4 linked regions of the Macaca fascicularis genome follow. The protein of the gene in region 2 purifies or fractionates together with the protein of the main gene of each other region. This does not show direct contact. Links are inferred from orthologs where the notes say so. Each region holds a gene or a part of one and is shown on either strand. Other genes may lie near its edges.

What was found. The genes of interacting proteins can lie anywhere in the genome.
Region 1: the proteins of HDAC1 (region 2) and ZBTB2 purify together in Homo sapiens (affinity purification with mass spectrometry; 5 studies listed by BioGRID and IntAct, counting the BioPlex papers as one, with this or other methods). This does not show direct contact. The link is inferred for Macaca fascicularis from reciprocal best matches to the Homo sapiens genes HDAC1 and ZBTB2.
Region 3: the proteins of HDAC1 (region 2) and ARID4A purify together in Homo sapiens (co-immunoprecipitation; 7 studies listed by BioGRID and IntAct, counting the BioPlex papers as one, with this or other methods). This does not show direct contact. The link is inferred for Macaca fascicularis from reciprocal best matches to the Homo sapiens genes HDAC1 and ARID4A.
Region 4: the proteins of HDAC1 (region 2) and RREB1 purify together in Homo sapiens (co-immunoprecipitation; 6 studies listed by BioGRID and IntAct, counting the BioPlex papers as one, with this or other methods). This does not show direct contact. The link is inferred for Macaca fascicularis from reciprocal best matches to the Homo sapiens genes HDAC1 and RREB1.

The regions. Positions count from the first base shown.
Region 1 is NC_088378.1:59,585,855-59,589,844, reverse strand, and holds the start of ZBTB2 (zinc finger and BTB domain-containing protein 2), read left to right. Parts: upstream 1-1,136; 5' UTR 1,137-1,314; intron 1,315-1,680; exon of another isoform or gene 1,681-1,851; intron 1,852-3,990. UniProt on the Homo sapiens protein: May be involved in transcriptional regulation.
Region 2 is NC_088375.1:202,705,724-202,709,283, reverse strand, and holds part of HDAC1 (histone deacetylase 1), read left to right. Parts: intron 1-1,483; coding exon 1,484-1,601; intron 1,602-3,560. UniProt on the Homo sapiens protein: Histone deacetylase that catalyzes the deacetylation of lysine residues on the N-terminal part of the core histones (H2A, H2B, H3 and H4).
Region 3 is NC_088381.1:126,146,200-126,150,356, forward strand, and holds the start of ARID4A (AT-rich interactive domain-containing protein 4A), read left to right. Parts: upstream 1-1,303; 5' UTR 1,304-1,478; intron 1,479-1,969; exon of another isoform or gene 1,970-2,466; intron 2,467-2,570; 5' UTR 2,571-2,627; coding exon 2,628-2,633; intron 2,634-4,157.
Region 4 is NC_088378.1:165,898,732-165,902,791, forward strand, and holds the start of RREB1 (ras-responsive element-binding protein 1), read right to left. Parts: upstream 2,855-4,060; 5' UTR 2,829-2,854; exon of another isoform or gene 2,533-2,828; intron 2,223-2,532; exon of another isoform or gene 1,877-2,222; intron 1,200-1,876; exon of another isoform or gene 1,108-1,199; intron 822-1,107; exon of another isoform or gene 669-821; intron 1-668.

The DNA of each region.
Region 1 (3,990 bases), on a different chromosome or scaffold from region 2:
TTGCCTTAAATGATTTAAACTATGTGCCAGGCATTGGCTGGTGGTCAGACTGTGTAAACCAACATGGGTTAGACATCATAACCAGGTTAGCATGACTTGAAACCAGAGTATCCCAGAAACTGCTGCCTCCACTTCCTTAAGAATGCAGCCATATCCTTTCTAAATCTCAAAAAATCCTAGATGTGTAAAGATATCATTAAATTCCAATCCTCAAAGAACTAAACTGCATTTCCCCCAAAAAACACACGAATTCTAGAAAAATGGCAACCAAAACTTTAAAAAATTAAAAATGACCAGGAAATTCTAACTTATCTGCCATGTTTCAGGATCTCCCCGTTGAAAGATTTTCCAAACCTCTAAATCTAACAGAATAGCCAACACTGGAATCCATACCTCAAAGACCAAAACCTAACAGGAGAATAAATTGTTAACAAACATGCGTTGCAGACTTTCATTTTTGGGAGGCCAAAACTTCAAAAACGAAAATCCAGTTGCTGAAATAACTATCAAATTCAACCCTAACAGAAACATCTTACGTCGCTCAACTAATCTGCAAGGAAAAGGAAGCAACTCTACCTCTGTGCACAGTACAGGCATCTGTACTTCGGCATGACTTTCAGTTACCATTGGTGACAGGAAGATACTGGTTTACAGTATCTCCCCGATTTAAAACAAACACGGAAAGTCAAGGGACAAGGGTAACGGCCAAAAGATCTCAAGCAGAAGCCGGCAGAAGTATACGAGCAGCGGCTCTCCATCTCTACCCCGAGCATCTCAAGGACTTGTCCTACCTAAACACTTTATGTAAACAAGGGGGCTTGTGACTCAGGCCTCCAGCCCCAATAGGTGGAGAGAAGTTTCCTCGCCTCGGCTGCACATGGTCTGCAGAAGTTTGGCTGGAGCAGAGCGCGGAGCCTGGGTGGGAGCGGCAGTGGAGTGCTGCAGGCGGCGGCGGCGGCGGCAGAGCAGCAGGAGGCGGAGGCGGGCGGGGGGAGGGGAGCGGCTGGGGGGGGGCGGAGGGGGCTCTTGCCGCCACTGCTCTCTCGCCGCCTCTCCCCCCCGGCGGGAGCCGCTCGCAGCCTCTTTGCACAAGTCTCTCCGCTCTCTCGGTCATGTGACCTTAACGTAACCGGACAGGAAAAGCCCCGCCGCCGCCGCCGCCGCCGCGCCGGAGACACCGACCGCGGCGGCAGCAGCAGCAGCAGCAGCAGCAGCGAGAGGCAGAGGCGGCGGCGGCGGCGGGGAGGACAGCACGGCCGAGGCTGCCCAGCGGCGCCTCCTCCACACCCCCCGCCGCAGCAGCACCGGCGACAGGTAAGCGCGCACCGCCTCCGCCTCCCGGGGCCGGTGCCCACGTGCCACCCCCAGCCCAGGGTCCGGGAAGGCGGAGGGGGGGGCGGGGGCCACCGGAGCTCGCAAACGGTTCCGGCAGCGGCAGTGGCAACAAAGACGCCGAATGACCCTCGTCCCAGGGCTCCGGGTGCAGGCAGGCGGAGGGCCCGGGCCACTCGGGGACCCGGTTCTGGGAAGCGAGGGCAGGGGCGCCTCGCGGGGGCGGCGGCGGCTGCGCCTGGCGCCGGGGCTCTGGCCGCTTGACAAAACCATCCCCCGGAGCCAGGCGGCGGCGAGTCGGCAGCGGCTCCATCCGGGGTTTTGAGGGAGGGGGAGGGGACGGAAGCCGAGAGGGCGGGCGGCGGATCGGAGGGAGGGAGGGAGGAAGGGGAGGGGGGCGATTCGCGTTCCGTTCCCCGTGGCCGGTCCCTCCCTTCCCACCGCCACCGCGAAGTGCGCCCTGGGCGGCGGCGACCGGTGAGCGTCCCGCGCTGGAGCCCTCGGAGGCGGGCCCGTCAGGTGTGTAATCCTTCCGACGCCTCGCCGCCGCCTCCTGCTGCTGCCGCCGCTGCTGCTTCGGCGGCAAGGCCGCGAGCTGCGGAAGTGGGTTTGGGGGAGGGGAGGGAGGAGGGAGGGGGAAGGGAGGGATCCGGTCCGACCGGAGCAGGCCCGGCCTCTCTGGCGCTTCTCCCAGCTGCAGCGGCTCCTACAGCTGCTGCCGCTACTGCTGCGGCTCCGCCTCCCGCTCGCGGGCGGGGGCGCGCACGCGCGCTTCCGGCCTCCTCGGGTCTCGCGCTGTCTCCGGCTCTCGCGCGCGCTCATCCCCTCTCCCTGTCTGGGCCACCCCCGCCCCCGGCGCCGGGGCTGTTGCGCCGGCCGGGGCGTTGCGCACGGCGTAGGCGTCGGCATTGTGTTAAACTCCGCGGGACTTGCGGCGAGCGCGCGCGCGCACGCGGGACTGAGAGAAGCGGCGAGCGTGCAACGCGGCCGGAGTGCGTCGCCCCTCCCTCCCCCTCAGCCCCTCGGGGACGGGGACAGGGACGGGGCCGGGGGCGGGGCCGGCGAGACCGGAGGGGGCCAGAGGGCCCCGGCGCCGCGCCCCCGGCCCCGCCCCTGGCCAGGCCCCCGCCCCGCGGGGCGGGTGGGGCGAGGTGGCTGTTGCGGCGCGCTCAGGCGGGCTGGGGACGCGTCGGCTTTTGTGGCGCCGCCCCTGTCGCCCGCTCCCTGCGGCTGCAGGCCGGGCCCAGTCCCAGGTGCTGAGCGCGTTGAGCCGGCGGCTTCGAGCTTCCGCCCGACGTGCGATCTGCGCCAGCGATACAACCCGAGTTGGCCCCGAGCGCGCTGTGGTTTCGGCTGCTTAGCCTCGGGGCGTGGGACCCGCGCGGCCCGCACCCCCCGACCGGACTCCGAGGCGAGGAGGCTGCTTCCCGTGGCCGGCGTCGTTTTCTCGTTGTAGCGAAACCCCTAAATCGTTCTTGTTTAAACAAAGCCGCAAGAAAGAAGTGTTTAGCCAGAAGCTGCAAAGGAAGCTAGGTTTTGCCGCTTTTAGCTGGTAGTAAAAGAGGCAATAAAGAAGCGAGGGTAGCAGAGTAGGCGAGTGCCTGGGCCAGGAGAAGCTGCAGCTACGCCTTTTACTGCAGGAACTTCCACCCGAATACGTGAACTCCTAATTATGCCTTGGGGATATAACCCGGCTCTCGCTCCCCGCCTCCCCCAGCTGCATTGTTCATTAGCTCTTTCATCATACAATGGGCCCACTGAGTTTGTGAGCATCGATTCTATTCATTTTCTCACGGTATTATTTTAGTAAAATAAAGCGTAAAAGCATAAAGAAGGTCAGAATTATCAGAACTCCGGGGAGGGGGGAGGCTCTGGGATTACTTAAACGTGCTGCCGTGTCCTTGCTAATGTAAATCTATGCCGACCCCCGCTGGAGCGCCAGGGCTAGTTGTACACACCACTAGCGTTTTAGTGTGGGAGTACCCTGAAAGTTTAATACGGAATTGGGATTATGCCATTTTAATTCTCATTTGTCTAATTTATCACAAACCAAAATTATAAATTGGTAAGGTAAATTCCACTGCATTCTGAATGATCTTGGTGTGCATCCAGGATGTTTTCAAACTGTTAAAAGGTCATTTTTTTCTTTATTTCTTTCTTCTTTTTAATAAGAGACAGGGGTCTTGCCATGTTGCCCAAGGCGGTCTTGAACTCCTGGGCTCAAGCAATCCTCCCGCCTCGGCCTCCCAAAGTGCTGGGATTACAGGGGTGAACCACCGCTCCTGGACAAGAAGGCAATTTTTAAGAGCATAGTAATTTACCAATAATAGGACGTCCTTTTAAACTGGGCATTTCTCATTTAATAAACTTGTAGTTTATTTGCTAAACAAAGAATTGGCCAGTAATTGAAGCCATCATAAGTGCAAGAAGTGATACGCCAGTGCCACTGAGAGTCAACAGTCGAGTAGTCTACAGTGGAGTGTAGTCTACACCCCTAAAACTGTGTCATACAGTCCACCTGCATACTTGCCAGTTTTAAAGCTTCTCTTCAAAGGGGATGTAAATACGTTGATGCTCAGCGACCTAGCAGCAGAGAATAAACATAATCATGTTTTAAGTTATAAAATAAAAGCTGCCACGGTGACACCTGCTTTTTTT
Region 2 (3,560 bases):
AAGAAGAGAATTTTAAAAAGAGGGAAGGAGGAATCAGAATGTTGGGATAACCAGGAAATTATCTTGTCAAGAAAGTGGCAAGGGGAGGATGTGATAAAAATTGTTGATGTGATGACTTATAAAGGATTTCCCATCTGTTTCAGTTGTCATTAGATACCCTTTTTTCATGAACTCTTGGAGCCATTTTGTCCATAATTTTATGATACATATATATACATATTTATTTTTAATTTTTGAGAGGGAGTTTCGCTCTTGTTGCCCAGGATAGAGTACAGTGGCGCAATCTCAGCTTGCTGCAACCTCCACCTCCTGGGTTCAAGCGATTTTCCTGTCTCAGCCTCCTGAGTAGTTGGGATTACAGGTGCATGTCACCACGCCCAGCTAATTTTTGTGTTTTTTGTAGAGACCAGGTTTCATTATATTGGTCAGGCTGGTCTTGAACTCCTAACCTCAGGTGATCTGCCCGCCTCAGCCTCCCAAAGTGCTGGGATTATAGGCATGAGCCACCACACCCAGCCAGTTTTATATAATATTTAATAATAAAAAGTAATAATTTTGTAGGCCGAGCACGGTGGCTCACGCCTGTAATCCAGCACTTTGGGAGGCTGAGGCCGGCGGATCACCTGAGGTCAGCAGTTCGAGACCAGCCTGACCAACATGGCAAAACCCTGTCTCTACCAAAACTACAAAAATTAGCTGGCTTGGTAGTGGGCACCTGTAATCCCAACTACTCGGGAGGCTGAGGCAGGAGAATCTCTTGAACCCGGGAGGCGAAGGTTGCAATGAGCCGAGATCGCGCCATTGCACTCCAGCCTGGGTGACAGATTGAGACTCTGCCTCAAAAAAAAAAAAACAAAAAAAGAAAACAGAAAAAAAAAGGCCTGGCGTGGAGGCTCATGCCCGTAATCCCAGAACTTTGGGAGGCCGAGGCGGGCAGATCGCGAGGTCAGGAGATCGAGACCATCCCGGCTAACACTGTGAAACTCCGTCTCTACTAAAAATACAAGGCGGAGCTTGCAGTCAGCCGAGATTGTCCCAGTGCACTCTAGCCTGGGCAACAGAGTGAGACTCCGTATAAAATAAATAAATAAATAAATAAATAAATAAATAATAATAATAATTTTGTGAAGCACCTTACAGTTTACAAAGAGATTTAACAACCTCTTCCGATTCTCTTAACTTCCCTGTGTGGTCCATGTTGTCCCTGTTTAATAAATGAGGAAATGGAGGTTCAAGAGATAGTAACTTGCCTAAGCAACAGAGCTTGAGTTACTCTAGGCCTTCTGATACTCTGTCTCCTTTGGTAATCTTGTTTGCCTAGTTATCTTGTAAATCTCTTGAGGCCTGAATCTAATCAGTTATTTCTTTTTATTCTTTATAGCACCTAGCTCCGTGCTGCGCAGGAAATAGAAATATTCAAACTAGATTGAGTGGACTGGCCGTGGTCAAAAATAACTTGCCCTTTCTCCCTTCTGCCCTCTAGCGCCCTCACAAAGCCAATGCTGAGGAGATGACCAAGTACCATAGTGACGACTACATTAAATTCTTGCGCTCCATCCGTCCAGATAACATGTCGGAGTACAGCAAGCAGATGCAGAGATGTAAGTCCATTCTTTTCCTCCACACTCCCAAGCCCCCAGTTGCATCTTACTTTCCACTGCAGAGGCCCGCTCTGCTGTCCTGGCACCTCCCATTCAGTGGACACCAGATTTCCCCTACCTCCTAAAGGTGCCAGAGTGCTTTTTCCCCTCAAGTCGGGTTTTTCATGTTTCCTGATTTGTGAACAATAGAGGTAGTACTTTTTCTGGTTATGTTCACAACACTGTCCCAAGAGTACTGTAATTATTGTAGTGGAAAAAGCACTGACCTGGGACGGAGAGACAGTAGATACAGTAAAATTTAACTCTAACTCTCAGCTGACTGGGCAAGTCACTTCTCAGATTTTTGTAAAGTGGACTGGGCCACGTGATCTCTGATTTCTGTCCAACTGTAACTGTTTTAACTTAGTGGGTATTGATTGAGAATTTAGAGGCCACTCAGGACAGATTCTAGAACAAAACTATCATACCTGACTTCCCCCTTGTGTTATTTTAGAAATTATCTCTTAGCACCTAAGACTTCATATAGTGTAACAGCATTGACCAGAAGAAGTTTTGATTAATTTATGACAGCTTAGATTGAAGTGTCAGAAAATATGCGGCACTTGTTTATTGCTGCTGACCACAAGGTAGTCTTATTCCCAAGGAAGAAAGGTATTTATAACTATTATTATAACTAATAATAACTGTACAGTGGTATTGATGACAGAACCACAGAGACCTTCCTTGAAGCATTAAGCTTCTTTGCTACTGACAACTCCAGGAGCTGCCAGCTGCTGTGAGTGAGGTGTTTGCTCTGAATTGCAGGGTCTTATTTCCCTCCAAGATGAGGCAAATTCATGCCTTTCCTGTAGATGGCTTTAGAGGTTTCCATAACCCATTTAGGCCAAGGATCAGGCTCTATTCTCAGCAGAGTGGGCTGTCACTAGAGAAGCAGCTTGCTATTAAAGTAAGAAAATAAGCTTTCATGTCTTAGTTTGAATCTTTGGTCTCCTGGCCCCTCTGGTGTTATTTCCCTGCCCCCTCCTTTTTTTTTTTTTTTTTTTTCCTGAGACAGAGTTTCACTCTTGTTGCCCAGGCTGGAGTGCAATGGGGCGATCTCTGCTCACCACAACCTCCGCCTCCCGGATTCAAGTGATTATCCTGCCTCAGCTTCCCGAGTAGCTGGGATTACAGGGATGTGCCACCACACCCGGCTAATTTTGTATTTTTAGGTTTCTCCATGTTAGTCAGGCTGGTCTCGAACTCCTAACCTCAGGTGATCCACCGGCTTTGGCTTCCCAAAGTGCTGGGATTATAGGCGTGAGCCACCGTGCCCGACCTGTTTTCCCTCTTTAAGAGGAAGACAGGACAGGCACAGCGGTTCATGCCTGTAATCCTAGCACTTTGGAAGCCCAAGGTGGGAGGATTGCTTGAGCCCAGCCAGGAGTTTGAGACCAGCCTGGGCAATATAGTGAGACCCCCATCTCTACAAAAAAATTAAAAAATTAGCTGGGCATGGTGGTGCACACCTGTGGTCCCAGCTACTCGGGAGGCTGAGGAGGGAGGATCTTTTGAGCCTGGAAGGTCGAGGCTGCAGTGAGCCGTGATTGTACTACTACACTCTAGCCTGGGCAACAGAGTGAGACCAAAAAAAAAAAAAAAAGACATTAGTGCCTATTTCCTAGTGAAGGATGAGGGGATAAGTGAAGATAATGTATTTATTTATTTATTTATTTATTTTATTTATTTTTTTTTTTGAGACGGAGTCTCGCTCTGTCGCCCAGGCTGGAGTGCGGTGGCCGGATCTCAGCTCACTGCAAGCTCCGCCTCTCGGGTTCACGCCATTCTCCTGCCTCAGCCTCCCGAGTAGCTGGGACTACAGGCGCCCGCCACCTCGCCCGGCTAGTTTTTTGTAGTTTTTTAGTAGAGACGGGGTTTCACTGTGTTCACCAGGATGGTCTCGATCTCCTGACCTCGTGA
Region 3 (4,157 bases), on a different chromosome or scaffold from region 2:
CATTTAAAAAATTACTCCATTCTATAAAACAACTAGCCAATTTATACTCCAATTCCACTATTTAAAAATATGTTTCGTTTAACAGAATACAAAATGTTAACAGAACAAGACCAACGTCTATCTTATCGGGGACGTCCTTTTAAGATGTTTTCAGTCCCTGCACAACCAATCTTTCCTTTCAAAAAGCAGCATAAGCCTCGCGCAGAGGGACACAGACGCTTGTCTAAGGTCACAGAAGCACCGTCTGTGCTGGCAAGTAAATTCCTCAGCATCCAAAAAGCCAGCGCTTTCTCCAGTTTCCTCATAGCTTTTTCGCGTGAGGAGCACGCGGAAACCTCTACCCATGCAGAATGTTTCCAAGAATCACTTCTGACCTGTCTTAACTAAGGAGACTCCCATAGTTTGTGCCAATCAGGTGGAGAATATGGCAAGTATCCAAAATGCACTTCCAAAGACAGGAAAGACTGCTCAGACAGAGGCAGAATTCAGAAAATCTCTCACATTCTCGAAAGCCCGAAAAAGCACCGCCAAGAAAGACTTTTGCCTCTCCTCCACCTCTTTCTCTCGGCGGGAGAGGAAGCCTCGCCCCCATTCATCCCGCCCCTTCTCCCCACCTCGCCGCAGGGAGAACTTTTACCATGGCTTCCTGCGGCCCCTTCACTTCCGGTGCCGGTGCCGCTAGGGCTGCGCCATCCCCCCCAGTCAATCGGACAACCATAGCCTCCAACTGACCTTTCTGACAGCTCTGAGACTCCTCCGGCCAAGACTAGGTGCTGTCCTGGAGGAAACGGTGGAGGACGGACGCACAAAAACCAATCTACCTGATGAAAACTCCGTTCCCTTCTTGCCAGAAACATAAAATGCGATGGAGCTACGGCGACCGCTGCCGAGACAAAATGGCGCCGAGAACCTGGTTTAGCGCAGGCGCCTTGGAAAGACCCTGCCCCGCCCCCGTGCAAGCCCCTGGCTGCAATTCTGGGTTCCGTTTCCATGGGACACTCCGCCGCCAATCCTCGTGCCGAACTGCTCTTCCTGACCCCTCAATTCACCAATCAGTGCCCAGTCAAGCACATCCGGAGTCGTCTCTACCAATCATTTCTCAAGACTTGCTTACTCAATAACCAACTCTCCAATAACGTTGGTCTTCGGAAAAAGCCAATCATAAGTGGAAGATGTCCTACCTGCTGTTTTTCGCACCAATCCATGAAGTTTCAGAGCTACATCCAATGAGGACGGCAGGTAGCGAGGTCCTATCCGAAGCTCTTCGGCGTCATGAACAGCCAATAGGAGTTCGTGTAGAAGCGAGTCTGCTCAACAGCTTGTTATTCGGTGGATTGTGGCAGTAAATCGGGGCGAGTGGGGAACCGGGCGCAGGAACTGCAGCCGCGGTTGGGAGTGGTGCTGCCCGGACGGGGGCCCACGGAGGTCAGAGGGGAGGAGGACTCTGGAGCTGACAGTGCGCACTTCACCCGCAGTTGGTAGGCGGGGAGAGGGGAATCGGGGGATACTGAATGGATGAAGCGGCAGTGGCAGCAGCTGCTGCTGCCCGGGGTCCCGGTGCAGTTGGAAGCTTCGGAGGTGGGGAGAGGGATGCTAGGCAAGTGGCGCGGCGAGCGCAAGAGAAGGGGCCAGCCATGGAGCAGCGGCAGCAACTGCAGGAACCGCCGCCGCAGCTGCAGCCGCCTCGTCCGCTTCCCCGGGTTCCCGGGAAAATGGCTGTGGGGCTGGCCGCGCCGCTAAGTTTGCTTCCGCGCCGTGAGGAGCGGGCTGCTTGGGGGAGCCGTTCCCCAACTCCGCGGCGCGTCCACCTCTGCGGAGTCCGTGGCAGGACTCGAGGGGCTGCGAGCTGATACGTCTCTGGGCTGTACAAAAAGTTGAGGCGGGCGCTGGGAGGAGGCAGCGGCTGCTGCGGTGCGGCTCCCCTCCCCTCCCACACCCTGTCCGGGCCACCTCCCCTCCTCCTCCCCTCAGTCCCCCGCCCCCTCCCCCGCGCGGGTCTCCCGGGGCTCTGGCGGCTCCCGGCTGAAGGCCGCGGCCCCTGCCCCTTTGGGTGAAGGAGCGCTTCTCCTTCCTGACATGGTGCAGAGCAAAGGAAGGAGAGCAATGGCGCCGTGACACTCCGCTGCCGCCACCGCGGGCCCGGGGCGGGCCGAGGGGGCCGAGCAGCGGAGGCGGGGCGCGGGCCGAAGTCGGGGTATCCAGGGGACAGCGGTGCGGAGGCCCGGCGGTCGCCTCCGCGGGGGACCTGGGGAAGCCCGAACGGCGCCCTGCCCTTTTCCGGAGCTATCTGTCCTGGGGCTCCGAGTTCAGCATTCCGGGTCAAAGTGGCCAGCGAGGCGGGGGCGCGGTGGGCCTCTGGCAAGCTCCGGGGCGGAACGGGCTGCCCTTTGGCGCGCGTGGGGTTCTTGTTGCCCCCTCCGCTCCTGCATCCTGGCTGCCCTCAGAAGGGGTCTTGTTCCTTGGCTGGTGAGGATTCTGCCCCTCCCCGCTGGCGTTTGTTTACTTTCTTTCCCTTGGTCGCTCCCCGCAGTTGACTGATTCTGTCTGTGCCTCTTTCCCCCTCCCCGTAGTTCTAGCGACTGCGACGATAGCTCGCTGAGCTGGAACCCCACAGATCACCAACAAAAATGAAGGTAAGTGGAGTCAACGCTGCCCCGATCCTCGCGCCTTGGACACTGCCAGTCGTAAGGCTAGTGCCGTGGAATGTCATTTGTTTTGCTCCTCAAAATTGATGTTCCTACTGATCAGCAGTTTCGGCATAGGAGGATGTGTTGAATGGGTGAGAAATGATCTGTGTGTCTAAATGCGGAGTTTGGGCCCTCTCTGTGGCAGTACTTTGGAAAGGCTGGTGCAGCCTTTCAATTGTTGTCCATTCGGATAGTATTTTTAAACACTTCCTGTGTTGGCAGCAACCTTTGCAGAAGTAAAGCTTTTGTCCTGCTTTGGTTCTTTGGGGGATTTTTCGAAAATTTTTTTCTTCCTCAGTGCCAATGCGATTTTGTAAAAGAAAGAGTACGTGGATTAAGTAATTAAGTAAAGAAGGTGTCATTTCTTCTGTGTGTAAAGTGAACTTATGTGGCTAAAATATTTGAAGTTGAACTATAATAATAGTTTCAGTTAAATCTTTCCAGTAAATATTTTAAAACATATACTTATTCTAAAAAGATACATATTCTACTGAGGATGACTGCAAATATCAATATGTGGATGGTTAAAGGGAAAGGATCTCATATAGCATTCTTGAATGCTGTGGCCATTGAATGTTTCAGGTCAGATTTTTATTTGCCAAAAGCATTCCTATTCAATTTGTATTTTTTGTAAACGTTCTTAAAAGGTAGCCAATTCCTGTCTTATTTACTGTTTCAGTATATTAAGCTCTGAAATATAGCATTTTCCCAAACTTTCTCATGGTTTTCTATTTTCTCCAAGTAAATGACATATTTAACATTCTTTAATATTACTTGGGAAAACTTATTAGAAAACAAAAAATCATTTTCTACTTAAAAACGTATCTCCAAAGTGTACACTGTTAACTTTGCACTTAACAATGTTAAGTTGAACTTGTATGGATACACTTTAACTTCTGAAAAAAAAAAAGGTAAAATGACAGATTGAGATAGCAATCATCCTGTTACTGTAAAGATTAAAATGAATGGTAGAGTGAAATTTCTTGCATCATTCTATGTATCATTCTGGTCATGTCCATTTGCTGAAAGTAGATGTTTCTTAGTAACGCTTGTTTTTTTATACTAAGAAGATCAGTGTGGTAAACTAGGTATGTCTACAGGTCTTGAACCATCGGTTCATATCTGCATTCATCAGCTGAATTCAGACTTAAAACCTTTCAAATGCAGCTTTTAGCAAATGAATTTTCCAAATTGATACTCTCCTTATGAAAAGATGTTACCTTTACGTACCTTTGTCAATAAACAATTATATATTGTTAGTGTTAATATTAGTAGCAATATTTATTTTAATTAATTTGCAAAATTTCAGGAAGCTATAAATGAATAACTTAGTTTTATGATATGTGTAATATGAAATATTTTTTCTGATTTTTTTATTTTTCTGCTTATATAAATAGAATTTTTGAAAAATTTTGTATCTGGAAAAAAAACATTATATTTACTCACTGATAATTTTGAATTACAACTTTA
Region 4 (4,060 bases), on a different chromosome or scaffold from region 2:
AGTGTAACCAAAGCTCAAAGTACATCAAAGCAGGACCCATCAGCGGGTACCCAGAAAGCTCCCTCCAAAGGGCAGAGGTAAACACATACATACACACACGCGCGCACACACCACCCCTAAAATTAGTGATCCGTCTTTGTATAAATTACTTGTAGAGTAGCTCGAACCCATTCCTTCAAAAGTTCTGTGGACTCTTGAAGATAGTACAGAACTCAACGTTTGTTTTTCAAAGAGGTTTTAGCCAACACTTTGGCCTCTAACTCAGACTTCCGGGTTGAAATATGTCTTAGAAACTATACCTGCCTACTTCAAAAAGTACCAAATCTAGAGGATGATTTTCATGGGTGTGAAAAAACAAAACTAAACCACATTCTTTTCTTGGCAGTTCTCTTTTCCCCACTCCACTTCAATTAAACTTATTTCAGAATCAACTCGCACATATGCAGGGTCCACTACATATACAAAGGGGAAAAAAATCTCAAAAATAATGGGGATGCACTAGAAACTCTGCCATTGCAGAGACAGAAATTCCTCGCTATTTCCAGCAACACCATTCAACAGGCAAACTTTATTCCCACTGGCTTTTAAAGAGCTAAGCTTAAATCTAAACTCTTAAGAGGGTTCAATTTTCTACTAATGAAAACCCCCGGACAGGTTTTTCAACATACCAAAACGTTATACTTTTTTATTCACCCTTCTGTCTGTCTCCACATCCACCACCATCACAAGCAGCAACAGCAGGAGCATCCTCAAAAGACGAAAACCCCTCCAAAGTGCCCCGAATGTGTGCTGCTGCTGGCTCTGAAGCCGTGTAGAATTTCGTAATGGAATGTGAACTGCTCGTCCGGATCTGGGCTCACGTTCTATCTCCTAACCAGTAAGGAGCGAGAGAGGGCAAATCTGCTGAGCAAGGAGAAATACTTTCCTCCTCTTTTATAACCCATCACGGATGCACGGCTGCCGAGGGGCGCGAGCTGCACGCGGCGCCTGTCAAGCGGCCCGGGCCCGCACCCCGTGGGGTCCCCGCGTCCCCCAGCTCCCCGCCCCGCCCGGAGAGGAAGGCGGCCTAGCCAACCCGTGGGCTCAGCCGACGCGCCCCGCACTCACGCGCGGCCGCGGAGCAGGTCACATCCTCGACGCGCCCTTGGCCCGGTCCAGAAAACACGCCGCTTCCCAGGGAGGGGGTCGGCGACGGGAAGGACCTCCCCTGCTCCTTAGCAACCATTAAGGTCGCAGTTTCCTAAGAGACCGCGAGCGGGGAGGGGGCGCGGGGGGCCCGGCCCTAGGCTTGTGCGGGAAGTAGGGGAGGGCAACAACGGGCCCCCTGCCCCCACCCAGCTAGACGCTGGGGGCCGGGATGGGAGGTGGAAGGGAAGCCCCAGAACTCGCAAAAAACTGGTCCAGCGGGCGGCGGACAAAAGTTTCCGAGCGCGCTCCACAGCTGGGCGGTGGAGCGGGCCCCGGCGGCCGGCCCCGCCTCGGATGCTCCCGGCCTCCTTCCTGTGCTCGTGACGGCGCCGAGCCCCCCACCCCCTCCCCCGCCCGCGAGGCAGGCTAGCTCCACACCGAGGGCTCCCACGAAAAAACGCACCCCGCCAACGGAAGGGCGAGGGAACAATACGTGCCCGCACGGCTCGGGCCCGGTCCCCTCCTCCCCTGGTCCCCCGGGGCAGTGGTCGGCGTGACCACGACCTCCAGCCGGGAACCGGCGAGGGCGCGGGGCTGCCCGCGGCCCCCTCCCGGCCGGCGCCGTCCGCCCGGGAGGATCAAAGTCCGCAGAGCAGGGCGCGGCGGATGCTCCCACCAAGCAGCCCCGAGCAGGCACCCCCGCTCGAGCACCCCGAGCAGACACCCCCAAGCCGGCACCCCCGGATACCTTACGGCGGCGGCGGGAGGGCGGGCGCCGTCATCTCCGCGCTTCCCGGCCCGAGAGGGACTCGAAAGTATGTAGGAGAAAAGTTTCCCCTCCCACATGGGGGGGAGGATGTCGAGGGAGAGAGGGCGGAAGATGGAGAGCAGCGCTGGGAAGATGTTTCTGGCCGGCGGTGCGCGCACCATCCGAGTCCCGGCGGTGCTGGTTAAAAATAAACTCGGCGGCGCGGGTCGGGCCGGATTCCTGCGCTCGGACGGCTAATATGGATGCGCATCAGGTCCTGCTGGCGGGGCGCTGCGGCGGCTCGCGCTGGGAGCTGGTTGGCAGAGCCAGCGGCTCGGGAAAGGGAAAAGAGCGGAGGAAGGGGAGGAGGAGGAGGAGGAGGAGGAGGAGGAGGAGGAGGAGGAACGGCCCGGCGCGCAGCCCGAGGGGAGAGGGCTGCCCGGCTCATCCCTGGCCGCCCCGCCAGCCCGAGCGCACGCTGCGCGGCGTGGGGCGTGCGGGTCCCCGCCTGCGGGACACGCCGAGTTTCTAAAGTACAACGCGCTCTGCAGACTTCACCCTCCCCATCCCCAAAGTTCTTTAAAAGGTCGCTCCGGCTGTGCCCCACATGTCTCGCTGCCGCCGGAGTACCGCGAGTCGGAACCCGGGGCACGTACTTACGGCCGGGCAGGACGCTTGGCTCCCAGGCATGATGCGTTGGGGACCGGTGGGCTTCAGGGAGAGACCGAGGAGAGATGCAAACTTGTTCCGGAAAAGGAATCAAAATGGCGTTTCTGGATGTGCAAAGTTCATCAACTCCGCAGTCACTTCCCCTCCTCCTCTTCTCCCACAGGGAGGGAGGTGGGCGAGGAGCTGGCGACCCCAGCGCCCCAGCCGTCGTCCCGGCCCCCGTCTCGGCCCCCCGCCCAGCTTCCTCGCCCGCACGCTCGGAGTCTCGCTCTCCCCCTCTCACCCTGATAAGTAGACACATCACGTGTTGCTCCTGCGAGTCTCCTGGGGACGTGTTACTGAGCGGCCGCGGCGGCGGCGGCGGCGCTCGGACTGGGGGGGTGAGGGGGAGGACCGCGGTACCCGCCTGTCCCCACCGCCGCCCCCGCCCCGACTTTAGCAGGATGACCGCAGTTGCCATCCCGGGAAGGATGGAGGTGGAGTCCCCTCCCCACCCCCCACCGCAGCCCCAGGTTTGCCCTACGCCCTCCCAAGGCGCCCCGGGCCATGGGAGGGCCGGGCTGCCCGAGGGTAAGGGTCCGGGAGGCCGCGACTGAGCGCGATCCCAATCGTCCCTTTGCTCGCAGGCCACCTTCGGCCACCGCGCCCCCTCCCCTGCAGCCCCTCGCCGCGGGCGACTCCCCGCCCCCGGCTTTCCATCACTTCACTCCGCAGTTTGTTTCACTATTTTAACAGAGGCGGGGGAGACACGGTGATGCCCCGGAATTGCGAGAGGGGCGCCTCGGAGGCGCTGGGGTTGGGGGGATGGGGGGCGTGGGGCTCGGGGTCCCTGGCCTGGCGCCGCCCCTCTGGGTCTGCGAGGCATCTGGGAAGTGGAGCCCCGCCCGAGCCGTTTCCTTTCCACGCGGTCCTCGCTCTGCATCCAGGTGGGGCGAGTGGATGATGGGGCAGGAGATTAAGGAGCAGGCGCTTCACCCCGCCCCTGGCTTCGAGCTGTTTCTCTCCCGGGGCCATCCTTCTTACTCGGGCTGCCGCCCTGAGCGTGCTCGCCGTCTAACAAACTCAACTCCGACTCGACTTTGGTCCCCTTCCCTTACCCACACCCCACAAAGGATGCTTCAGCGGGGAACTGCGTGACCGCCAGGGGCTGAGGACGGCTCCTGCCGCTACTGTGTCCCCACCCCGCGATGGAATGGCTGATGCTGTGTCATCCACGTCGCCCTCCAAGGCTTCAGAGAAGCCACACGCAGTATCTCTTTCTCTCAGAGGGCTCTTGTTTCAACTCTGAAAAGCAGGGGCCCTTCTCGGAGCCGCTCTCCATCTCTCTAGCTCCTGCCACTACGCTTCGCACTGGCTGCCTTGCCCCAAGTTATCACGGAGCCCAGAGAAACCAGGCCTGGGCTGTGCTTCCTCCATAAAGCAGCTGACATGTTTCCAACTGTTAATACTTCTGCTACCGAGGTTCTGAAAGGGGTCTGTTCTCGGCCTTTGGAAACATCTTCAGACAGATAAGGA